Notamacropus eugenii: one gene and its partner. The protein of the gene in region 2 binds, or shares a complex with, the protein of the main gene of each other region. Links are inferred from orthologs where the notes say so. Each region holds a gene or a part of one and is shown on either strand. Other genes may lie near its edges.

Region 1 (7,038 bases), on a different chromosome or scaffold from region 2:
AAAAACAACTGGAGGGCAGAGGTGAACACTGAAGGAGAGAGAAGATTGAGTCAGGTGCAAGTGAAAAGGGTCACCATATGTTAGTTTTGGCCAATCCAGAAGTCATGACCCTGTGCCTGAGAGGGGCTGATGGAACAAGTCACCCCAACAGGCCTGTGGCCAGCAAGACCAGCAGGGTCCCAAGGATGGCTGTGTTGGGGGGCGCCAGGGGCCAGGTTGCTTATTCCTCTGGGAGCTGGCCTGGCTGCCACAGAAGAGAGGACTTTGCTGAGACAGCACAGAGTCAGAGGTGGAAAAGACCTCAAAAGTCCTGGTCCCACCAGGTCATCCCTGCTGGATCCCTAGCTGCCTCCTAGATTTCACTGTAGGACTATGTCTAGCCCACTGAGGACACTCTGGGCTTCCTTGCTCTTCTAAAGGGCCTGTCATCATGAACTGCGGGGTGTGAGGGGTGGGCCACTCCCCAGGCTCCTGGTTCTACATGCCTTCACCTGAAGCATCAGTTGCACTGTAATTCTGTCTGGAACAGACAGTGTGTGGAAGGAGTTTCTGAGGTGCCCACACCTGGTAGCTGCTCAAGGCTCTTGAGGGCCCAGCCCCACCTGAGGCAGTGCTAGGTCTACTCCTGGGCCCTCAGCCCTGAGCAGTACCCAGAATTCAAGCTGCCAAAGGGACTAACGAGTGGGGAGCGCTTCTTTCTGCCTCCTCTGCTCACAGACCCCAACACTCTTCACGGCTGGAGCCCCATTCACACGTATGAGGGGATAAGTTCCACAGCGCACCACTGCTCTGCAGACGAATCCAAGATGTCAGGTCAGCACTCCCTCCAAGGCCCCACCTGCAGTCGCAGCTGGCATTATCACCAGGCCAGGCCCAGTGACATCTGTCCTTTCATTTCAGCGCCACACAATTACCCTAGGGGACTACAAGGCTTCTCTTAACCTCTCTGTACCTGTGGGCACAATCATTCCACCCTATTTTTTCTTCTCTTAAAAGGACTCAGCAACTCTTTCTAAACTCACAGTTTTAAAAATAATATGTTTAACTAAAAAAGTGTCCTCCAATTGACAGTCAAAATGCATTTCTACCTATCTCCAACGACTACCTCCACTGACCTTCTTTGCTCTCACCTAAGTCAACCTCCTTGTATGATCAGTTTTGTTCAGACAAAGCACAAACATGATCTGGGCGCTAGTCGCAGGGCAGCCAAAAGCAAAGGGCAGCTTTTGTCCCACCTCCAGAGAAGGGTGGCTCCCCAGCCGAGGGCCCCTTCCCAGAAGTTTCTGCAGCAGAAATGCTCAAGCAGCTCACTTGAACCATACACACCGAGAAAGCACAAGGGGATAGTCACGCATGGCTCACAAAAGAATCTCCCCAAATGTCAAGGTGCTGTCCCTGCTCTGAGGAGCCACAGGGAAGAAGACTGGGACCCTTGAGAATCGCTACCTGGCCCCAGACAGGGGGATGGCTGGCCCACTCAGCAGCGCCCTAGGACTGAGAACCCCAGGCTCCTGGCATTCCCCACACTTAGCCACGGTCCTTTGGTGTGCTAGTCCCCCCTCCCCAGACGCGGGTTCAATTTCTGCCGGGGTCCCCTGGACGCCAACAGAGCCCACCCCAAGTTTGATTCCTTCCCACCAGGTAGCAGTCGCGTAAAAGATGAGATTGCACCTGATAACCACTCTCCGAAGGTGTCCTGCCCACTGGCACGCCTCTCTTCGTGGCGCTCAGGAGAGATGGACCCCGCGGATGCCCTTTACTGACCAGGGGAATTCTAAACTTGCGGGTGGCACCGTGGCGTGGGGGAGGCGAGGGGCGAGGGGTCCGGCGGGCAGTCTGCCCTGTTTCGGGTCGGGTAGCGGCGTGCTGCGGTCCGCGATCCTGCCCCGCAACCCTGCCCACGATCCCGCCCGCGATCCTGCCCCGCAACCCTGCCCACAATCCCGCCCGCGATCCCGCCCGCCCGCGATCCTGCCCCACGATCCCGCCCGCGATCCTGCCCCGCAACCCTGCCCAGGATCCCGCCCGCAATCCCGCCTGCCCGAGATCCTGCCCCACGATCCTGCCCCGCAACCCTGCCCACGATCCTGCCCCACGATCTCGCCAGCGATCCCACCCCGCCCAGCCCTTACCTGCTGAGCGAAGTCCCTCAGGTGAGCCATGTCTCCCGGCCAACCGCCGCCAGCCCGGTCCAATCCGCGGCTCGTCACCTGTGATCCGCGCAGACCAAGACACGGGGTTTCGGGGTCCGAGGGGCGCACAGGGCGGCCGGCCCGGCCCGGCCCGGCCCAGATGGGGGAGGTCCGGCACCTCCCCCTCCCCCGGACTCCAAGCCTGGGCCCCCCCACCTCTCAGGGCTGCCCCTCCCCCAGTCCTGCTGCACCCCAGAATCGGAACCAGCAGCACAGACAGCTGGGCCCCCCCAACCTACTGACGGAAAGGTGACCTTGGGCTGGTCCCGCCCCCTCCCCTCCAGACCAGGCTAGACTCCCTGGGGCGCGTAGCCCCCTCCTTTCCCTCCCTCCCGGCCCCTCCCCCACACCTGGTCTCCCCTCCCCCCCTCCCTGCACCAACGCCCGCCTCCCTCTCTCCGGCCCTTCCCCCACCCCCACCCGGCACCGCTCTCTCCCCCAACCCCCCTCCTACCCCGCCCCCAGCCCTTTCCCATCCCCCCTCTGGCTCCTCCCTCCCCGTACCTGGACTGAGGCGCCCCCGGGGGGCCCCAGGCCTCAGCGCGCCCCGCCTCCGGGGGTCTCCATGACCGCCCTGGGCCTCGCCCGCAGCGCCTGACAGTGACGGGAGCAGCTGCGGCCCGACCCCAGACGCGGCTCCGGCTCGGGCTCGGCTCGGGTTCGGCTCGGGCTCGGCTCGGACTCGGGCTCCGGCTCCGGTCCGGCTCCCGCGGCGTCTGGAGATAGAGAAAGCCAGGGCGGCGGAGGAGCGAGGAGGGGGTGGGGGCAGAGATGGGAGAGCCACTGCGCAGTCGCGGGCGTCCCGTTGCCTTCTGGGAGTTGTAGTCCCGCTTCCCGAAGCCCTGCTCCTGATGCTGGGGGAGGGGGCACTCCGGCTCCCTGACGTCCCTTGGGAAATGGGCGGGGCCTCCGGGCAGGGCCTCAGGCGGCAGCGGCGATAAAGGCTGGTTGGGCTTCGGCATTTCCTCGAGGAGCCTCTGGGAGGGGGGCGAGGACTCCAAATCCCAGGAGGCTTAGCGCGGAGGAAGACTGGGGGCGGGGGATGGGAGGAACCGTGGAGCGTGACCCCTGTCAGCCCGCAGAGCTTCTGCCGGGCCCCCAAACCTGGTCCGGTGAGGGGCAGTGAGAGGGAAGGCCTCGGCCCCCGACAGTGCCCTCCGCCCTCCCCCTTCTCCTTTTCTCCATCCCCAGGTCGGTCTTGGGGGGCTTCTGGGCGGCCCCCCAGAGTGGCCGCTGTTTGGGGGCGGGGCTGCTTGCAGGTGGGTCCTGGCACGCCCGTCTCCCCAGGTGCGGCGCCCCCTGGCCAGGGGCGGAGGAGAGCCGGGAGATCCCGGAGCTAGAGCTGGGGGGCCTGGAGCCTGGGGTCCGACCTCGCCCCCTTTCACAGAGGAGGCCCCACGTGACGAGCGCGGTCACCCGTGACCCTCCCCTGGCCCGCGCCCCCCGGCGCGGGGGCCTCCCGGCAGGTGACCCCCAGGGGAGCGGGACCCTCTGCAGTGCTGGGGGCGGAGGGCAGGGGGGAGTCAAGCCTCGAGCCATCGGCTCTCCAGGCCGGGGAGCGGGGACCTCCTGGGGGGACTGAGGGGGACAGCCCCCTGCGGACGCCTCGAGGGGCGGGCCCAGGGCCGGGCTCCGAGCGGGGAGCATGCCCGGGGGTGCAGGAGCGCCGGCCTGAGGAGGAGCAGCCCGGCAGGTAGGAGGAGCAGCCCGGCAGGTAGGAGGAGCAGCCCGGCAGGTAGGAGGAGCAGCCCGGCAGGTAGGAGGAGCAGCCCGGCAGGTAGGAGGAGCATGCCCGGGGGTCCAGGTGCGCCGGCCTGAGGAGGAGCAGCCCGGCAGGTAGGAGGAGCGCCGGGCGGGAGGGTCAGAGAGTCCCAGAAACCTCGCTTGGCAGGAGGAGACTCCAGGAAGAAGGGGGGACATCGGGAGGGAGCAGGCTGGGGGTGGCCTTGTGAAGAGCTGTTTCGGCCTGGAAGCCCTGGGAAGGAGGCGGGAGGAGAGGACGGATCCTGCGGGAGTGAGGCTGTGAAGGGGAGCAGGGATGGGGGGACAGGGAGAGACCCGGGCTTGCGTGCAGGCGTCAGGGCAGGAGCCCACCGGGAGGGAGGGACGGAAAGTCAGAGCAATTCCGATTTATCCACGCCCTGCGCTCCGAGGTTTGCACCGCCTCCTGACAGTCCTCTGAGGGACGGGCTGTGATCATCCTGAGTTTACAGTTGAGGGAAACTGAGGCAGGCAGGAGCTGAGTGACTTGCCCAGCGTCACACAATTTGAAAATGCTTGGAGCCGGATTTGAACTCAGAACTTTATTGAATAAGATGGGAAAGTGAAGCAATCATGGTGGGGTGCGGGCGGGGGTAGGTCTATCTCCCTGGTTCAGCAAGGAGGGGAAGAATGATTGGATGGAGGGTGAAGACCAAGTCAAAGGGAGGATACAAAGCAAGGCGGGAGGGCAGGCAGAAGAATTTCAGAGTTCTTGTTCAGGGAGATGGACCATGGAAGGATGATGGGGAGATCAAGGGTACAAGGGGAAGGGCAGAGTTCACAAGACAGATGCTAAACTCCTTGAGAAAGGGCAGATAGTCTGGGACCGCTGGGTGGCTATCCCCAGCACTTTCAGAGGATGGTCCAGCTGGGTGGTGGAGAGTTTGAGGTGACATGGTGGAAGAAAACAGAGTGATGTGGATACGGGGTGACAGGCACGGCGGCTCCACACTTGGCTCCTGTTGTGTTTTTAAATTTTATTTAATTTTTCAATTAACAAGCATTTGTTTTCCCTGTGCAGTAGTATATGCAAGAGTCTCAGACTCATAAATCCTAGTTTTTAAATTTATTTTCAATGAACAAAAAATGTATTTTCTCCTCCACCCACTGAAAAAGAAAGAAAAACTCCATCCTTTGAACAAATATGCAGAGTCAAGCACAACAAATCCCTGTAGTGGACATGTCCAAAAAAGCCATATTCCAACATGCATCCTGAGGCCACTGCCTCGGTAGGTGTCTGGTGTGATGCATTTGGGGGCCTCTAGAATTGTGGTTGGTTCATGTGTTGAGCACAGTTCTCCAGGCTTTCAAAATTATGTATCTTTACCATGCTGTCATGTTTCTACTCCCTCTCCTCTGCCTCTGTCCATACAAGTCTTCCCAGGTTTCTCTGAAAGGGTACCTTCTGTCACTCATTCCCTACCGCACAATAGTTAGTATTCCATCACCTTCACATACCCTAATGACTTAGCCTTTCCCCCCAAATGGATGGACACCCCCACCCTAGTTTCCAGTTCTTTGCTACCATGAAACAGGCCTCTCCTAACACCTTTGTACACATAGGTCCTTTCCTTCTGTCTTTGATGTTTTTACGTGAGCAGGAAGCAGACTTAGCAGCAATAAGGCTGGAGTTAAGGGTGTTCATGATTTTTCTGGCATAATTCCGAATTACTTTCCAGAATGGTTGGAACAACTCACAGTTGCAGCAGGCTTCTACTGATATACAGGAAAACAGTGCCTCCGTGGGCCTGGATGCCCCAGCATTTGTCATGTTCCCTTTTTGCCACTTTGCCCACCTGATGGGTAAAAAGCAGAACCTCAGAGGGGCCTTAATTTGCATTCTACAATTGTTGGTGATTTGGAACATTTTTTCACATGGCTGTAAACATAGTTGGGATTTCTACCTTTGACAGCTGCCTCTCCAAATTCTTTGGCCATTTATTCGTTGGAGAATGGCTCTTATTCTTATAAATATGGATAAATTCCTTATATATCTTGGAAATGAAGCCTTTATCAGATAAATTTACTGCAAATGTTTTTCCCAGTTAACTGTTTCCTTTCCAATTGTAGCTATACTGGTTTTGTTTCTATAAAAAAAAAACTTTTAAAGTTTAATAAAAATTGACCATTTTAATTTCTGTGATTTTCTTTCTCCTAGCTCAGTCATTAACCTTTCCCCTGTTCATAGATCTGAAAGGAAATTTCTTCCTTATTCCTCTAATTTGTTTACAATATGGCCTTGCCTGTCTAAGTCAGGGATTCATTTGGTTCAAACACTGCTGCTTATTTGAGGGCTCTCTCTGATTTTCCAGCTGCTAGTCTCTTCTACCCTGGAAATTCTTGTCTGTATTTATTAGGATGTAAACTCCCTGAGAACAGGAAGCATTTGGCTTTTGTAGCCCCAGAACCCAGCAAGTCTGGCATGAAGGATCCATTTAATTAAAGATTGGGGCTGGAAGGGACCTGAGATACTATGGGGTCCAGCCCCTCATTTTACTGATGAGGAAACAGGTTCTCGAGGTGAGCTAAGGTGAGGTGCATTGCTCATCGGTGTCAGAGATAGTTTGTGAACTCAGGGCCTCCTTACTCCCAGGCCAGTGCCCTGTCACATGAGATCATGTTTATCAAGCTGTTAGCATATTGGAGGTGCTTAGTAAATGTTTGTTCTCCCTCCTCACCCCCATCCTCATTGAATGATTGCATTATTCAGAGTTTTCATGTTTTTTAATATGGTTTCACTGCATGCTCATGCACACACATGCACACCCACCCACCCCCTTTCTTTACCACGTAGTACCTGGACTGTAAGCTTCTTCAGGTCAAAGACATTTTGTGTCTCCAGAGCCTGGCACACAGAGAAATTATGAGATGCTTATGGTGCTGAATTGGAGGCTGTTGGCCCAGCCACACTTTTCCAGTTTCCACTTGCTAATAGTTCAGCAGATGAGAAAGAGCAACAAGTAAGGCCAGAGAACATGTAAGGCCTTGCCCATTTCTATTAGCCCTCTGTAGCTGTGTTCACAATCCCTGCCTCGTACCCATTAATGTAGCGGTGCTTGTGGCCACAGTATAGGAAGAGGTGGGG
Region 2 (7,484 bases):
GTTCCCTTAACTTTAAAATGAGGAGGGTATTATATATTACACTACTATTATACTACTAGGTAGTATAATTGTCCACCTTTAACAAATGTAGAGGGCCAACTAGGTAGCCCAGTGGATAGACTGCCACACCTGGAGTCAGGGAAGGTTCATCATCCTGAGTTCAAAACTGGCTTCAGACACTTAACCAGCTGTGTGACCCTGGGTAAGTCACTTAACTTTATTTGTCTCAGTTTCCTGATCTGCAAAATGAACTAGAGAAGGAAATGGCAAACCACTCCTGCATCTCGACTAAAAAGTAGGATCACAAAGAGTCAGGCATGACTGCAACAACTGAACAACAAGCAAATGGAGAAACTGAGGCTGTGAGATCCTTTGTGGAATATAGAACTGGAATGACCATAGAGGTCATTTAGTGTAATCTTATTGTACAAATGAAGTGATAGATGTTTCCCAGTTGAGGCTGTGACTTGTCCACAGTTAGCAGTGGTGGGATCAGAACCCAAATCCCCTCAATCCAAACCTAAGGCTCTTCTACAGCAGGGATGCAAAGTGACTTGTCTAACTACACACAGTTAGTGGAAGAGCTGGGAGTGGAACTCAGATTTTCCTACTCTCAAGTCCAGTGCTCTTTCCACCAAGAAGACTAGGTTTCCTTTCTGTTTAACAGATAGGACACTTCGGGTGTGCAGGAAAAAGGGTTACTAGAATTGATGACCTCATTCTACTATCTGCCCCACTACTGATCAGTTCTGCAGGTAGAAAAGAACACAGAGCTCTGGGAGTCGTCGATCCTGACTAGCGTTCTCACCCCAGGAGAACAGAAGAAATGGGGGGGAAGGAAGGCAGAATAATTAGTTCTTTAATAAGAGGCACTCGTGGGTTGTGCTGTGGCAGGTTTTTCACATTGAGTGGGGTTGGGCGTGGGCTGTGTCCTGTCCCTCAACACCCTCCCTTTTTTTCCCTCACAATGAATTGTAAAGCAAAGTTTGGCTCCTGGAATCTGACTTATTTAACAGAAAGAAAAAATAGACAAAAATCAAAGCTTTGGCCTTGAGCCTGGTGCTTCCTTAGAAATCATGGCCTAGTCTATGAAAGAAAGGTGTGGAGAGAAAAGAGAGGGAGGAAAAAGAGGAAAAGAGAAGAAGGGGGAGGAGAAGGGAACACAGCTGTTTCCCAGGGATGGTAGCTCTTGTCTGTTCTTTGATACCACTCTCCCCCTTTATCTGTATTCTTCCACTGTTCTGCAGGAAAAAGGAAGAAGGAAGGAAGGAAGAGAAAGGGAGGGAAAGAGTCATTGCTGATCCAAGGGCATGGCCCATAGAAAGACATTGGGTTGGATCCTAGGCTTTTACTTTTACATCCCATTCAGTTATCCACTCAAGGCACATTGATACATACATACATATACTCACAAACACATACATGCGTACACATCTTCTACATTCCTCCATCCCACTTTCCACCTCCTCCTCTGGGTACAGTAATGAATGAATATTGCCCTATGGATCAACTCTCCAACCAAAACCAAAACTTCTTTCTTTGGTCCTCTATTCCCCTATATGTGATATTTTCCCTATTAGAATGTAAACTTTAAACCAGGGACTATTTTTCCTTAGGCATTTGTATTTCAAGAGATTTTTAGCACAGTGCCAGTGCTAAATATTGATAAATTTTTTTCATTCTTTCATTCTTTGCCATATTACTTATGGAGAGGGAGTGGCAGAGAAGAGTTTTGGGGGTGGAGGAGGTGTTAGAGCTTAAAAGAAATAGACAAGAAACTAAGATATACAATTAACCAAAGCAAAATGGCATGACCGTCCCTCCTTCAAATATCACCACGAACTTCCTTTGATCTATGTGGTTTATGAATTTGAATCAGAGAATCTCTGCATTGGAAGGTACCTTAAATATCTCATGGCTCAATTCTCTTTCTACAAGAATTCCTTCACAACTTCTGCTTAAATTTGCCTAGTTCAGGGAAATTCACTACCTACCAAGGCAAGACTGAATAGCTCTTGGTACTACTGAATAGGTTCAATAGGTTGGTGACCTATTGAGAGTAGCCCTAAAGGAGCTATGGGAAGACAGGCTTTCTAATTCAGGGCTGATAGAGCTGTGAATTGGCTCAATTGTTCTAAAAGACTATTGGGATTATGAAAGAAAAATTATTAAATTACTCATATGCTGATCTAGAGATCCCACTAGTATGTTAATAAAGCAAAAAAAAAAACCCATCACTCAAATATTTAAAAATATTCATGGCTGCATTATTTATAATAATAATCTGAAAACAAAATACATTCCCTAGCCTCACTTGGGAACAACTATATAAACTGAAAAATATACAGTATTATTGTTTTAGAAAGAACAATGAATCTGGAGATTTCAAAGAAATATGGGAAAATGTGAACTGAGGCAAAATGAAGACAATGGAACTATATATAAACCTATATATGTGTGTGTATGTAGTTCCATTTTATGCATAAGTATGCGTGTGTATATGTATGCAAGTGCTCCAGAATTTGTAGACAACACGAAAAGTCAACAAAACTCTATTGAAAGATCCCACTATCTATCAGGATGTATCCTGTTAATAATCAGTAAGCTATAAAGGCCAAAAGTTAGGCTTAGTAATTAGTCAAATCACTCAGGAGGTTCTGTTTAATAATTTTCAGGAAATGCACTGTGGAGAAAGAAGGTTGTTTGAATGTTGGTGGATATATTCTTTTATATCAAAGCAAAATGTGTCTGTAATAGAGGTAATCAGGGGAACCCTGCCCTGATCCACTCTGGCAGGAGTATTTCCCATAGAACTGAGCCCTATGATTGGGTCTTTTCTGATAATAGGTGCCCTAGCCTCTTGCTGAAGGTCACTTTCAAACAGAGGTTCCTGGTTGAGCTTTTGGTCCCCATGATAGAATTTGAGGGGGAAAGGGCAAAGAGCACTGGTCACTGAACAGGAAGAGCTACTTAGCAGACTTCCAAGTAAGGGAAAATTTCTGCTATTTCTCTCTTCTTGTCTGTCAAGCATGTCAAAACTCTTTAAGCTTTCTCTATGACTCCCATCAACTTGAGTATGGAGTTTCTCTAAAAATATGGCAGTAAGTACATGCGCCTCTCTGGATGAGCCTCTGGTTACCTCTTCTGCTTTGTGTTTCTTTCTTAGAGCACAGGTGACTGACTAGCTATCCTGAGTTCAATGTTTCTAACCTCATCAAGAACCTCATCATGAGTTTCAGAGGTTGGGAGCTTCTGAATCCACATGCTAGTTGCTCTGCAAGTGATCTCAGCAACATCTTGGAGGAGAAAAATGATCACGGCCAGGAGAATGAACAAAAGCCATGCCTCAGCCTGCCAGAGGATATAGACCTTAAGTCAGTGAAGATCCAAGGTGAAAGTATCTGCTCAGCAGTCCTACAAAATGTTTCCTGTTTTAATAATGTAAGCATCTTCCTCCTGGGAGAATCTAAGAGGAGTGATGAATTATTGTATCTTGCTTTAAATATTTGTCAATATGCACTGAAGAGCCTTCTGGGTTTCAAGCATTTCTTTTGTGGTAGAAATAAATAGCTGTCCTATAGCAGATCTACTTAGTAATTGTAGAATTTGAAAATTGGAAAGGACCTCAGTTGCCATCTGGTGCAACCCATAAATGAAGGAATCTCTGCTATAATGTACCTGACAAGTATTGTAATCATTCAGCCTCTGCTGGAAGACTTCCAAAGAAGGGGAACCCACTTCCCCTGGAAACAAGCTATTCTACTTTTAGGTGGCTCTCACTGTTAGCAGGATTCTCCTGATATTTGCCTGTGCAATTTCATTGCTCCTGGTTGTGCACTTTGAGGCCAAAACTATACTAATCCTTCCTCCACATAGGTCCTTTACTTGAAGAAGACCCACCAGACTTCTTTTGTCCAGGCTAAACAGGCTCAGTTCTTTCTAGAGAACAAGTACATAGGTGAGAGGAGGGTAAGGAAAGGTGGTTTGGAAGCTAATTGGCTGTGTGACCTTGGGCTTCCCATCCCAGAACCCCAATTTACTGATCTGTAAAGAGGTTGTACTAGATGTTCCCTCAGGTCCTTCTTTGCAGGAAAGAATAGGAGAGGAAGAGACACCTGAAGGAGTCACTGAAAGATGCTTACTTGAAAAGATCATTTACAGCTGGGCTGGGGGAGGGAAGTGACAGTTTACAATTTCTCTCATATTTAGAGTTTAGAAAAACTGAGGCTGAAATCTGGGAATGGTTGGCCAAGGACGCAGAGGCCTAGAGGTCGGGTGGTACTTGGAGGAGCCGAAGTACCCTAGCCCGAGGCTAAACAACTCAAAAAGCTGAATGAGCCCCAACCTCCGCCCCGAACATCCAGACAACGAATCCCACCTTGGGGTGGAGCTGCTAGTTGGTTGCCTTGGCCAATAGAGATGAGGGGCGGGGTCTGGGGGGCGTCCCGGGGTGTGTGTGTCGGGAGGAAGGTTCCCCTGGGTTTACGGCTGCCCTGCCAGCCTCTGGCAGAGCGGGCTGAGCAGTCGCGGGGAGCTGCATGGAGGACCCCAACGGCGCCGGGCTCGGGGCTGGCAGCCCACCTGGGAACGGTAGCGGCAGCGGAGGAGGAGGCAACAAGGGAAAGCAGGCGTCGCCCAAGGGCCGGGAAATGTTCAAGAACCAGCGGAGGGAGTCCGAGGTGGGCATGTTTTGTGCCGGGGAAGGGAAGAGGCTGGGGTTGCTGTGGTGAGGGGCGAAGTTAGAGTGAGCCTGCACGGACCGCGGCACCGTAACTGGAGAGGCAGGCCCTCACTCCCGGGGATCCCTGACTCCTCCCCCGTAGATAGTGGAATCCAAAAGATGTGAAGCCGGATTAAGGCACCTTGGAAGTAGTCTAAGCCTCTCCTTTTACAGATCAGGAAACCAAGGCCCAGGAGATTAAGTCCACAGTCACACTGGAGTAGGAAGCAGAGCTAGGGCTCTGAATCCAAGTCCAGTATACTTGGTTAAGCTGGGTGTTGAACCCAGGCCACTTGACTGATGGAATCCCGGGCTTCCCTCTTCATTCTTGCCAGGGATGGGTCCTCAGTTTCCCTTATGTTCCTGATGACCTAGCCAATATTACTTCAGCCCCTGGACAGCTGATGTAGACTGGTTAATGCAGCTGAGAGGTTTACATTTGCTCTAGTACTGCTCCTTTCTAAATACTCATAGCTGGGACCCTTTGTGTGACCAGAGAGGAACCTGAGAAAGGGACAGACTGGGGTGCCTTGCCTGACCCTTCTCCATATTGGCTCTTCCCCTATTTCTTAGTTTTATTCTCAGTGCCACGTGGAATGGTAGAAAAAAAGAGGCAGGAGACCCTAGGTGTGCTGCTGCTTCCTTTTGTGACCTTGGACAAATCCTCCTGCTGTTTCCCCCAACTGTAAAATGAAGAGCATTGGGTTAGATCATCTGATCCCTCCCAGCTCTAAAATTCTGAGTCAAGAAGACTTTTATGTCTTGCACATAAAAGCATTCGGTTGACGTTGGTTGAGTGAATGAACCAACAATTGGCTAGACCTGAAGGTCTTTACCGGGGTTACTGCTCCATTCTGTCTTGCTCTTTAAGAGTTGCTGGCCGGAGTACCTGGCAGGAGTATTTGCTGACCAGGTTTTTTCACTTCTCCTCAAACAGAATTCTCAGTGAAATGGTGAATAGGCTGGGTGGAGGGAATAGGTTGGATCTGGGAAGTTGAATTCACTGTTTCTTCAGCCCTAGTCCAAAAGAAAGACCAAGCTTCCTTCCCCCAGGGCTTAATGGATCTTAGCTGGTCCTGAATGACTGTAGTCCTTTCCCACTAAAAATGGCCGCTTAAAAGAACCTATACAGTTAATCCTTTTTTCTAGGTAGACTTAAGGGCTCCTCACAAGCAGATGGTAAACCTTGGGCTAAAGAATGCCCCTCCTCTTTGTGGCTGTGGGAGTAGGGAAATAGGAACTAAGAGAGGGAAAAGCACTTGGCCATAATCATGCTGGTGGCATGCTCCTAGGAGAGTGTCAGGTTAGAGCCCAGGAGTCCGGGACTCTCCAGGATCCTGCTATCTATCAGTCTTATGCTTTTTGAAGAGGCAGTGACCCCAGACCTCTTCAGCAAGAGACTCTGGTAGCTTTGCTCTGAGCAGCCGGTGTGGTTTGTGCAGGATCCCTCCCTCCTGCCTGCACAGAGCAGCAGCTTCACCCGTCTGCCTGGGGCTGCATCTTCATTTTTTTCATTCCTGCTCTCCCTGTTCTGAAACTTATTGCTAACAGGATCATCTCAGTGTTCGTTTCCTGCCAACACACTGTCCTACAAAATTAGCTCTCCCCCACCTCTGCAAGTCAGAGAAGCTGCCTTTCCCTATCAGTGTGTCCCCCATCACCAGTGTGCCTAGGTGCCAGTTATGATGACTGTTCACCTTCAGATCTCTCCTTGCTTTTCCTGGTATGTTGGGAGTGAACAGCCCTTAGGAGACAGAGGTTTCTCTTTGGGTCCTAGAGCTCCTCTCTGGATGATTACTGTAGGCAGAAGGAGAAGGCTAACCTATGTCTAAGAAGACAAGGGAAAAAAGAAAAGTCTTTTAGACTGCTAAGTATATTGGGACAAGATTTGCCTAGTTCTTCCTTATTAAGCCCCCCCAGAAGCATCCTGAGACACTCACATCCATCCATCCATCAGCAGCTCTGCTTGGTTTGGATGCCACCGAATATGATGCCCTTACACCATGTGCCCTCCAGTCCCTCCCACCCCATTTATCTTTCTCCACTTGATTGTAAGCTCCCTGAGGTCAGAGACTGGCTTTTTCTTATTTGTATCCGTAGTGCCTGGCACATAGTAGATGCTTAATAAATGTTTATTGAATATAATTGAGAGAGTCTTGCATCACTGTACGCAAAAGAATGTCATTTGACCATCTCTCATATCCATCCCCACAATGATGTGATGAATGATGAAACATTGACTAGGCAGGGACATAATTTGACTATTTCTCTCCTCCTCCCCATCTAATGGTACAATGAGTTTATAGGAATATGGACTTTAGAATCTGAAGAAGACCTTTGATGATTTGGTCACACAGGGTGATTTGACATCTTCATCCCTAGAAGGAATGTCCACATTGATAAGAAAAGTCTGTTGGAATGTGGGACTTAATAACTTTATAAAAATATTTTTCTTTATGATCAACTTCACACAGGCTCCTTTTAATCAGTTTCCATTATACGTTCAATAGAGTCACTGATTGTTAGAGCCAGAAGGAATCATTCAGTTCAACCCCCTCATTTTACAAATCAGGTCATTGAGGCCTGGAAAGAAAAACTTGTCTAAGGTTTCACACTGAGTTTTTGGCAGAATCAAGACTAGAATCGAGGCTTTCTGACTTGCCAAGATGGCTTCTTTGAAAAGTTTTTTTTTTTTAAACATAGGTGCATTGTTTACCCAGGCTGCCTTTGCAGAAGCAAATAAATGGTTCAGGGGATAGAGCCC

What was found. Proteins that work in one complex are often made in the same cells at the same time.
Region 1: STRIP2 (region 2) and STK25 share a complex: the UniProt entries of both Homo sapiens proteins name them as parts of the core of STRIPAK complex. The link is inferred for Notamacropus eugenii from reciprocal best matches to the Homo sapiens genes STRIP2 and STK25.

Annotation. Positions count from the first base shown.
Region 1 is NC_092877.1:378,498,070-378,505,107, forward strand, and holds the start of STK25 (serine/threonine-protein kinase 25), read right to left. Parts: upstream 3,006-7,038; 5' UTR 2,697-3,005; intron 2,211-2,696; 5' UTR 2,163-2,210; coding exon 2,133-2,162; intron 1-2,132. UniProt on the Homo sapiens protein: Oxidant stress-activated serine/threonine kinase that may play a role in the response to environmental stress.
Region 2 is NC_092874.1:120,780,477-120,787,960, reverse strand, and holds the start of STRIP2 (striatin-interacting protein 2), read left to right. Parts: upstream 1-4,404; 5' UTR 4,405-4,419; coding exon 4,420-4,679; intron 4,680-7,484. UniProt on the Homo sapiens protein: Plays a role in the regulation of cell morphology and cytoskeletal organization. Required in the control of cell shape. Calmodulin-binding scaffolding protein which is the center of the striatin-interacting phosphatase and kinase (STRIPAK) complexes.